Linked DNA regions of Oryctolagus cuniculus. The protein of the gene in region 1 interacts with the protein of each later gene in a biochemical or structural test. Links are inferred from orthologs where the notes say so. Each region holds a gene or a part of one and is shown on either strand. Other genes may lie near its edges.

Region 1 (3,906 bases):
TCCTCCACCTAGTGGTGCCAGCACACCGGGTTCTAGTCCCGGTCGGGGTGCCGGATTCTGTCCCAGGTGCCCCTCTTCCATGCCAGCTCTCTGCTGTGGCCCGGGAAGGCAGTGGAGGATGGCCCAAGTGCTTGGGCCCTGCACCCCATGGGAGACCAGGATAAGTACCTGGTTCCTGCCTTCGGATCAGCGCAGTGCGCCGGCCGCAGCGTGCCAGCCGTGGCGGCCATTGGAGGGTGAACCAACGGCAAAAGGAAGACCTTTCTCTCTGTCTCTCTACTCTGCCTGTCAAAAAAAAAAAAAAAAAAAAAAGAAAGAAAGAAAGAAAGAAAAGAAAACAAGTCTGATGACTGCAGAGAGCTGCCCTCAGGCCCCTCTGAGACCTTCGCCATCCAGGTGGGACTCCTGAGAGACACCCAGGTTCTCCCCTCTCACTGACCCTTGCGACTACAACCGTCTCTCTCTAGGTCCAGTTTTCTGTTTCAGTCCGCAGCTCCCTGCAGTCCAAGACCTCACCAACCCTGGCGTGGCATTCTTTCCAGAGCGTCAGAGCGTCAGAGTGGCTCCACACCTTCAGGCCATCCTGCACCGGGACAGGTGACAGTCCTCTGACTTGAATTCACGAATGCTCCTGAATGCTAGCACACAGGGAAGTCCACGGCTTTCTAACTCAAACCCCGCTTCTTCCTCTATCTACTCTGCTATCCCAGCATGCCAGGCGATTCCACCTCCGCAGGGTTTTGGCACAGGCACAGGCACAGGCACAGGCACTCTTATCTGGAGTCCACCTAGCAACTTCCTACAAAACCTTCTCCTCGATTCAAACGGCACCTTCTTTGGGAAGCCTCCCCGATCTCCTGAGTTGGGCAAGTCCTCTTCTGTGACTTGCGGGAACTGAATCTTATTTACCTTCAGAGGGCCCCTGGATGCCACGGTTCAGGGCTTAAGGAATCCAGTCGCTGCCTTGAGCCTATTTAGCCGTAATTATAAGGGGGGGGGGGGCAGCTCTGGTTCGGCTCTGGCTTGCCAGGCTGACCGCGCGCCAAACTCCCGGTCGGGCGTTCTCGCAGGTGCCCAGGCCGAGCTCGCGTAGCTGGGTCGTCGGCACGCTCCGCCGCACGCGCGCGACACCCGGCGCGCCCCGCGTCGCGGCGCTCCGCCCCCAGGCCCCGCCAGCCCGCCACTAGGCCTCGAACCCGGCCTCCGCCAGGTCACGTGCGCCGTCTCGGCCAATGCGCAGTCTGCTCGGGCCCTAAGCCCCTCCCTAGGCCGCGCGCACGTCGTGGGCGGGAGTGGCGCGCGCAATTCCTCTGGCCAATTGCCGTGCAGCCCGCGGGACCCCGGTAGTGAAGGCAGGGCTGCTGCGAACCCCGAGCGCGGCAGTTGGCGCGGCGGAGCCATGGTCGGCCACCTGAGTGAGGGGGCCATTGCGGTGAGGAGAGGCTGGGAGCGGTCGTGGGCGCGCAGCCGTGCGGAGCGGGGACGGAGGAGGGGAGCCAGGGCGGTGGGCGGGACAACGCAGGAGAAGCAGATGGCGGGGGAGCCGCGGGGGTTTACCCCGCGCTGATCGGCGCCCTCTTGTCGCGGGAGCCTTCCAGTGTTCGTTACACACGCTCAACGTTTTTCTGCCAAGAAAACAGACGTGTACTTTGTTCGCATCTCCCTCGCCGGCCGCCCTTCCCCCATCCCCCCAAACTTCTCGAGAGTCGTCTGTTTCCAGTTACTCTGTGTCCTCGCCTCGCGGCACCTGCCGTGGGTCAGCCTGGTCCCCGCGGCGCTGGGGCCTGTTGATCACCTCTGCCTTTGGCCTCTGGCTCAGCTTGCCTAGTCTTGCTTTTGATCCCCTGGCTCCTCCCCCTCCACCCCTGGCAACTTCATTACCATCCAGAAGTCAGTTAACAGGTTTCTCCGTGCCAAGCCCCCTTTACTCGAAAAGACTTCTGTACTCATCCGTCTACCTAGTGTATCAAAGGCATCTTAAATGCCATCTGCCCGGAGCAGATCCTTTATCTTCCCAAGTCTGGGTCTCCGGATGTTACCCAGCCAGAAACAGTTCACACGTCCAGTCCAGCACCAAGTGGAGCGTATTTTACCTTAGCATAGATCCTTTATTTATTTTTGGTTAAGATTTATTGACTTATTTGAAAGGCAGAGTTACAGAGAGACAGAGGCAAAGAGAGAGATCCTGCATCCTCTTGTTCACTCCCCAAGTGGCCGCCGTGGCTGGAACTGGGCCGATTCGAAGCCAGGAGCCAGGACCTTCTTCCAGGTCTCCCGCGTGGGTGCAGGGGCCCAAGCACTTGGGCCACTTTCTATGATTTCCCAGGCCATAACAGAGCTGGATCGGAAGTGGAGCAGCTGGGATTCGAACCTCCACCCCTGTGGGATGCTGGCACTGCAGGCAGAGGCTTAGCCCATTGTGCTACAGCACCAACCCTGTTTGTTTCTTTTTAAATATTTCTTGTATGTGAAAGGCAGAGTTGGAGAAGGAAAAGGAGAGAGAGCTCTTCCATCTGCTCCTTCACTTTCCAACATCCTGGAGCCAGGAGCCTGGAACTCTGTGCGGATTTCCCGTGTGGGTGGCCGGGGCCCAGCACCTGGGCCATCCGTTGCCGCTTTCTCGAGCGCATTAGCAGGGAGCTGGATTGGAAGAGGAGCAGCCAGGGCTTGAATCAATGCTCATCTGGATGTCAGCTAGAGGCTTAACCCCACTGTGCCACAACCCGGGCTCCCCACGTAGATCTTTTAAATCCATCCACTTCTTCCCATCTATACTGGCACCTTCATTTCTTGGCTTGACTACCCTCTTCCCACTATTCTTTTACTCTCTTCTATAGCCTTAAAAAAAAAAACCTTTAAATTCCTGATACATTGCATACTCTTGCCTTACGCGGGGCTCTTTTTTTTTTAAAGATTTATTTATTTGAAAGTCAGAGTTACACAGAGAGACAGAGAGGTCTTCAGTCCGATGGTTCACTCCCCAGATGGCCGCAAAGGTTGGAGCTGCGCCCATCCGAAGCCAGGATCCAGGAGCTTCTTCCAGGTCTCCCACGTGGGTGCAGGGGCTCAAGGACTTTGGCCATCTTCTACTGCTTTCCCAGGCCATAGCAAAGAGCTGGATTGGAAGAGGAGCAGCCGAGACTAGAACCAGCGCCCATATGGGATGCTGGCGCTTCAGGCCCACTGCATCACAGCGCCGGACCCTTACGTGGGGCTTTTGAACATTCTTTTCCTTCTGCCTGGGTTCTTCACTCCTCCCTCATGGGCTAACATAATTTTCAAATCTTAAGCTCAGTAGTTACTTTTGGGGGAAGTCTTCTTTGACTTCACTTACTAGGCTAAATTATTTTATTTTGGGACTGTAATTCCTGTGTGTTCCCTTGTTAGATCTGTGACTTTGGGCAGAACACTGGACTGTTTTCCTTCTGTAATATCAGGGTGATGATGCCTAGTACCTTTTGCATAAAGTAAGAAAGTGTGTTAATACATTTAAGTGTTTAGCTCATTGCCTGTTACATAGTAAATGCTCAGTATATGTTACCTGGGATTAATAGTCACACGTGTAATTTTACATTGATTGCTTATTGATTAATTGCTTATTGATTAATGTCAGTTACGGTCTGTCTCCTCCAGTAGGTTGTAAATTCCATGGGGCCTGCAGTCATGCTGGGTTGTTTTTGGTTCCCACAGTGTCCCCAGTACCTGGAGCAGAGCTGACGAGTTGTAGGTGCCTGGCAAATGTTTGCTAGCTGCGTGAATGATTAAGACAGCGGAAAGAAGGATAGAGCTGGATGGGGAAGAAAGGCAGGAAGGGACAGACAGCTGTCAGAGTTGAGTGAGTTTTGTAGTAAGTTAGGGATGGATGGATGCCGAAGCCTGGGACTTGTTGCAACTTGTAGCCCTCCT
Region 2 (3,906 bases), on another chromosome or scaffold:
GAGAGAAGCGTGGGATCCAGGTTGTGTGACTTCACCACCAAGCTCCCCCTGTGCTGCCTTCCCCCACCCCACGTCCTAGTCCAGGGATATACTCTCTCTGAGTGGGGGAGACATCAGCTTTCTCCCAGGAACTTACCCACTCATCCTGCAAGGCTTTCAGGATGGCTGGGATGCTGGTGGCTGAGGGGGGCTTGGGCCGGATTGGGTGGGCAACTGCCAAGAGAGGAAAGTCAGGTGTGAAAACCTGTAACCCAGGCAACCCCCCTACCCCAACCTCAGGTTCTGAGCCAAGAGGCCCACACTGAGGCCGACCAACGGGTACCTTTGATGTCGATGAGCTGCTCCTCGGAGAGAGGCTGGTTGTTAATGGGGTCTGTACCATTCTCAGCAATGTACTTCTCTATGAGCCGCCGCTCGTAGACGTGATTAGAGACGGGGGACACGCACGGGTGTTCTGGCACTTCATTGGAGACTGCAGAGAAAGGCAGGCAGTAGGCTTGGGATGAAAGACAATCTGGGGCCGAGGGGATTCCTAACTGCCACCAGCCCAACAAGTCCCCACATCCACTCAACTCAGGGGAAGCACATGATGCCAAGGCAGCTTTAGGCTAGCCCCTAAATGTTCTCCAGCTACCTATGTGGCTTCTCCATTGGTCTCTCGAAAGCCTGGGTGGTCAAAAATTAACTACTACACAGCTCCTATGCACTGGGCACCCAGAATGCAGTCAATAAGCCCTGCCATCTCATTTTCAACAGGTAGTTGGGGACCCACACCAGAGAGTTACTCTCCACACCCTGGAGAGCGTGTGAAGCCATTCAGGCAGCTGCCATCCACCTCAGTCACAACCCTAACTGGATCAGGAGACACAGGGACTACACAGCAGCATGACAGACACCAGGGTACCAGAACCATTTACACGGTGCTCACTCCGTGCCGGCCAGGATGCTAAGCACTTCACACAGGTGCACCTGTCCCCCCAACAACCTCCAAGCAGTTCTCATACACATTCTTGCCCTGGGAGACAGTGCCCCCCTGAAGGGCAGTGAGCACAGCCCGTCTGGTACTTCAGTCCAACGCAGACGCCCTGCAGCACCCAACAAATCGGGTGGATGAGTGCAGGCTCGGGCCGGGGCTCAGGAGGGGGCACCTCCAGGTGTGGCAGTCCGGCATGGGCAACACTTTGGACTAACCAGAAGCAGGCTGAGGCTCAGTGTCTCTTGCCCCCTCTCTCTCTGCACCCCCAACCCAAGCGTGGTGGCAATGGAGGTATCGCTGAATTCCTTATCTATCCCAACACAGGCTCTCCAAGAGAAATACATGGATCACGGATGCGTCCTCTGGAATCTCATCACTCAGGGGAGACTGGCTCACGTCGGGAGAGGCCGAAGGTCTCCGGGCAGAGGAGGTCACTTAATCTCTTCAAGGCAGCTCTGCGACACTGTTCACTATGACTGCCTGGGCCTAGTCGTCTGCACCAGACAATAATCGGTCCGCTGTCAGTCTGGCCCCATCAACCAGCTCTCGCGGGCACTGGCTGTGCCCCTCCACAGGAGCCCCACTCCTCCCGAGCCCTACAGTCCCATTTGTACGCCTCCCGCAGGGAATTCCTGCGAGGACAAAACGAGATCGTGGGCTTGGAAGCGTGCTGTAAACCAATGTGTGTGCTCTTTTTATCAGTCATGCACAGCGCGCGGCTGGGAGCCGGACACCTGGCTTCCAGCCCCGTCGGCCTCTCGCTCCCTGCGTGACCTTCGCAAACTGCAGAGGCTCCAACTATCCGTGCGAGACCTCCGACGAGACCCAACGCAATGCTCTCAGTCTCGCAGACGGGGAAACTGAGGCCCAGCGTCTCGCGCCACATCGCAAGGCCGATCGAAGGCTGCTGCTGGACAAATCCTCAGGTTTCCTGGCTCCTACACCACGGCGGCTTCCCCTGCACCAGCTCCTCTGCCCAGGCCTGCCCAGTGGGCCCAAGTGACCCCTGCGACAATAAACCTGAGGTGATAAGTAAACTGCGCCAACACTGCGCCAAATACACGCCGCCGTAAGGGGCAGAGCACCCCGTGCTGACAGGCGGCCCGTTCCCGCCTCCGCCCGACCCCGGCGCCGCAGCGGCCTGCACACTAGCCCTCTCCTCTCTCCCGCCTCCTGCGACCTGAGATCGCCAGCGGCCAGTACTCACTAGAGCAGATCAGGGACATGGCGCCGACGCAGCGCTCTGAGGCGCCTTACTCAGGGCTCCGGGTCTACCTTCGGCGCCTCTGCGGGCTACTTCCGGTTCCCCCGCTGCTTCCGGACGCTCCGCGGTAAGCAGGGAGCTACCCCGCGGAGCGATGCCCGCGTAGCGTTTCACGTGGGAGTGTGGCCGGTCGCGCGCCTCAGCCTTCAGCACCTAACGGAAACTGCCCTTTCCCAGAATGCAACGGCACAGGAAAGAGCCCGCCCCGGGACAATCGGCTGTCTCCGGATTCACTCGGCTTCTTCCGTGAAGCCTTCAGGGGCGGGGCAAGCAGCGGAGAGGCGATCCGAAACTACACTTCCCATAGTGCAATGGGAACTTAAAGGGCTAGTCGTTCTGTACTGAGCTATTGGAATGCAGTCTTTCGAATCTCATGTAGATTTCTCGGGTCTGCCTTAGAAAGTCTGAAAGTGCCTCACGTAATTCTGAGGCAGGTGTTTTCTGGGCTGCCCTTTGAGAGACACTGCTGGCCGACCTGGTGAAGAAAGCACAGGGAGAGGAACACTGTCCAAGAAATTGAAGGCCCTACTCCTACCACAGTTTGCTCGGTGGTCTTAGACAAGTTGCCGGCTTCACCGCCCCTTCGTCCTTCTAGGTCCCTTGCAGTTCGGATAGTGTCTGGTTCTTCGTGGGGATCAGTAAAATGGGATATTCTCGAGATTCACGTAGGGAAGCAGACAAAGGTGTAGGACGGACAGGTGTGGTCAGCGAAGACTTCTGCGCTGGACTTCCGCAGGTGGGCATTGTCAGAGAAGAAGGAGAATGGAGTATTCTAGAAGGGGCAACAGCGTGAGCACAGGCTTGGGGAGAAGAATTAATGGCGGAGGGGGCAAGAGCGTGGACTCGACAGTCAAACTGTGCCCAAATGCCAGCTCCACACAGGTGGTCCACGGTACGGACTCTACGCCTCTGTTTCTTCGGCTGTAAATAGAGGAAGTGATAACCAGGGTATGTTTCTTTTCTTCCTGATTTTATATTTTTACTGAAAAGGGTATATTTAACATGAAGACCACAGAGGCTTCTGCTCTGCACCCTGACGGACCAGGTCAGATGGAAGCCCTTACGATGAGGCTGTTCATGTTGCCAAACCCAAACTGAATTGTTATCTGATCTTTCAAGCAGTTACTAAACCGAGATAACAGCTATGTTCCCTAAACAACCCAGTGTGGTCCCTAAACAGGGCAAGTTCCCTAAGCAGGCATAATGACGGTTCTGATAAGCTCTCTGCTTTAATCCTTACAAACAGTGACCTGAAGTCATCTGGTGCTGATGAATCCATCATTTTTTACCTTATTCAGTCTCCCTGTCCCCGCCCTCCAAGGAAAGTGGGTTACCAATTCACATTTTGTTCTTTCTGTTTTGTTTTCAACTCCATGAAGCCAACCTCCTCTGCCCAAACCCTTGGACACTTCCTTTGTTCTGTTGGTGGGAGTGTTGCCTGACTCTAATGGAAATCAAAGCCAATTAAGATCTTTAAGTGATATTATACTTTTGTCCTTAGACAGGCAGAACCAAATCCCTGGGTTTCTGATGAGTTAGTATAGGAAAAGTGCATCTCTTCCCTACACAAATGAAATAGCATCCTGATGAGTCTCCTTGCTTGCAGCCTGGTCTCCTTCTAATCCACTCAGAGAAAAATCTATTCACATCTTTCCCCAGACTTTTC

What was found.
Region 2: the proteins of RPA1 (region 1) and PRPF19 form a complex in vitro, tested with the Homo sapiens proteins (2 studies listed by BioGRID, with this or other methods). The link is inferred for Oryctolagus cuniculus from reciprocal best matches to the Homo sapiens genes RPA1 and PRPF19.

Annotation. Positions count from the first base shown.
Region 1 is NC_091448.1:47,342,919-47,346,824, forward strand, and holds the start of RPA1 (replication protein A 70 kDa DNA-binding subunit), read left to right. Parts: upstream 1-1,247; 5' UTR 1,248-1,399; coding exon 1,400-1,432; intron 1,433-3,906. UniProt on the Homo sapiens protein: As part of the heterotrimeric replication protein A complex (RPA/RP-A), binds and stabilizes single-stranded DNA intermediates that form during DNA replication or upon DNA stress.
Region 2 is NC_091432.1:11,685,576-11,689,481, reverse strand, and holds the start of PRPF19 (pre-mRNA-processing factor 19), read right to left. Parts: upstream 2,426-3,906; 5' UTR 2,203-2,425; coding exon 2,184-2,202; intron 473-2,183; coding exon 323-472; intron 214-322; coding exon 137-213; intron 1-136. UniProt on the Homo sapiens protein: Ubiquitin-protein ligase which is a core component of several complexes mainly involved pre-mRNA splicing and DNA repair. Required for pre-mRNA splicing as component of the spliceosome.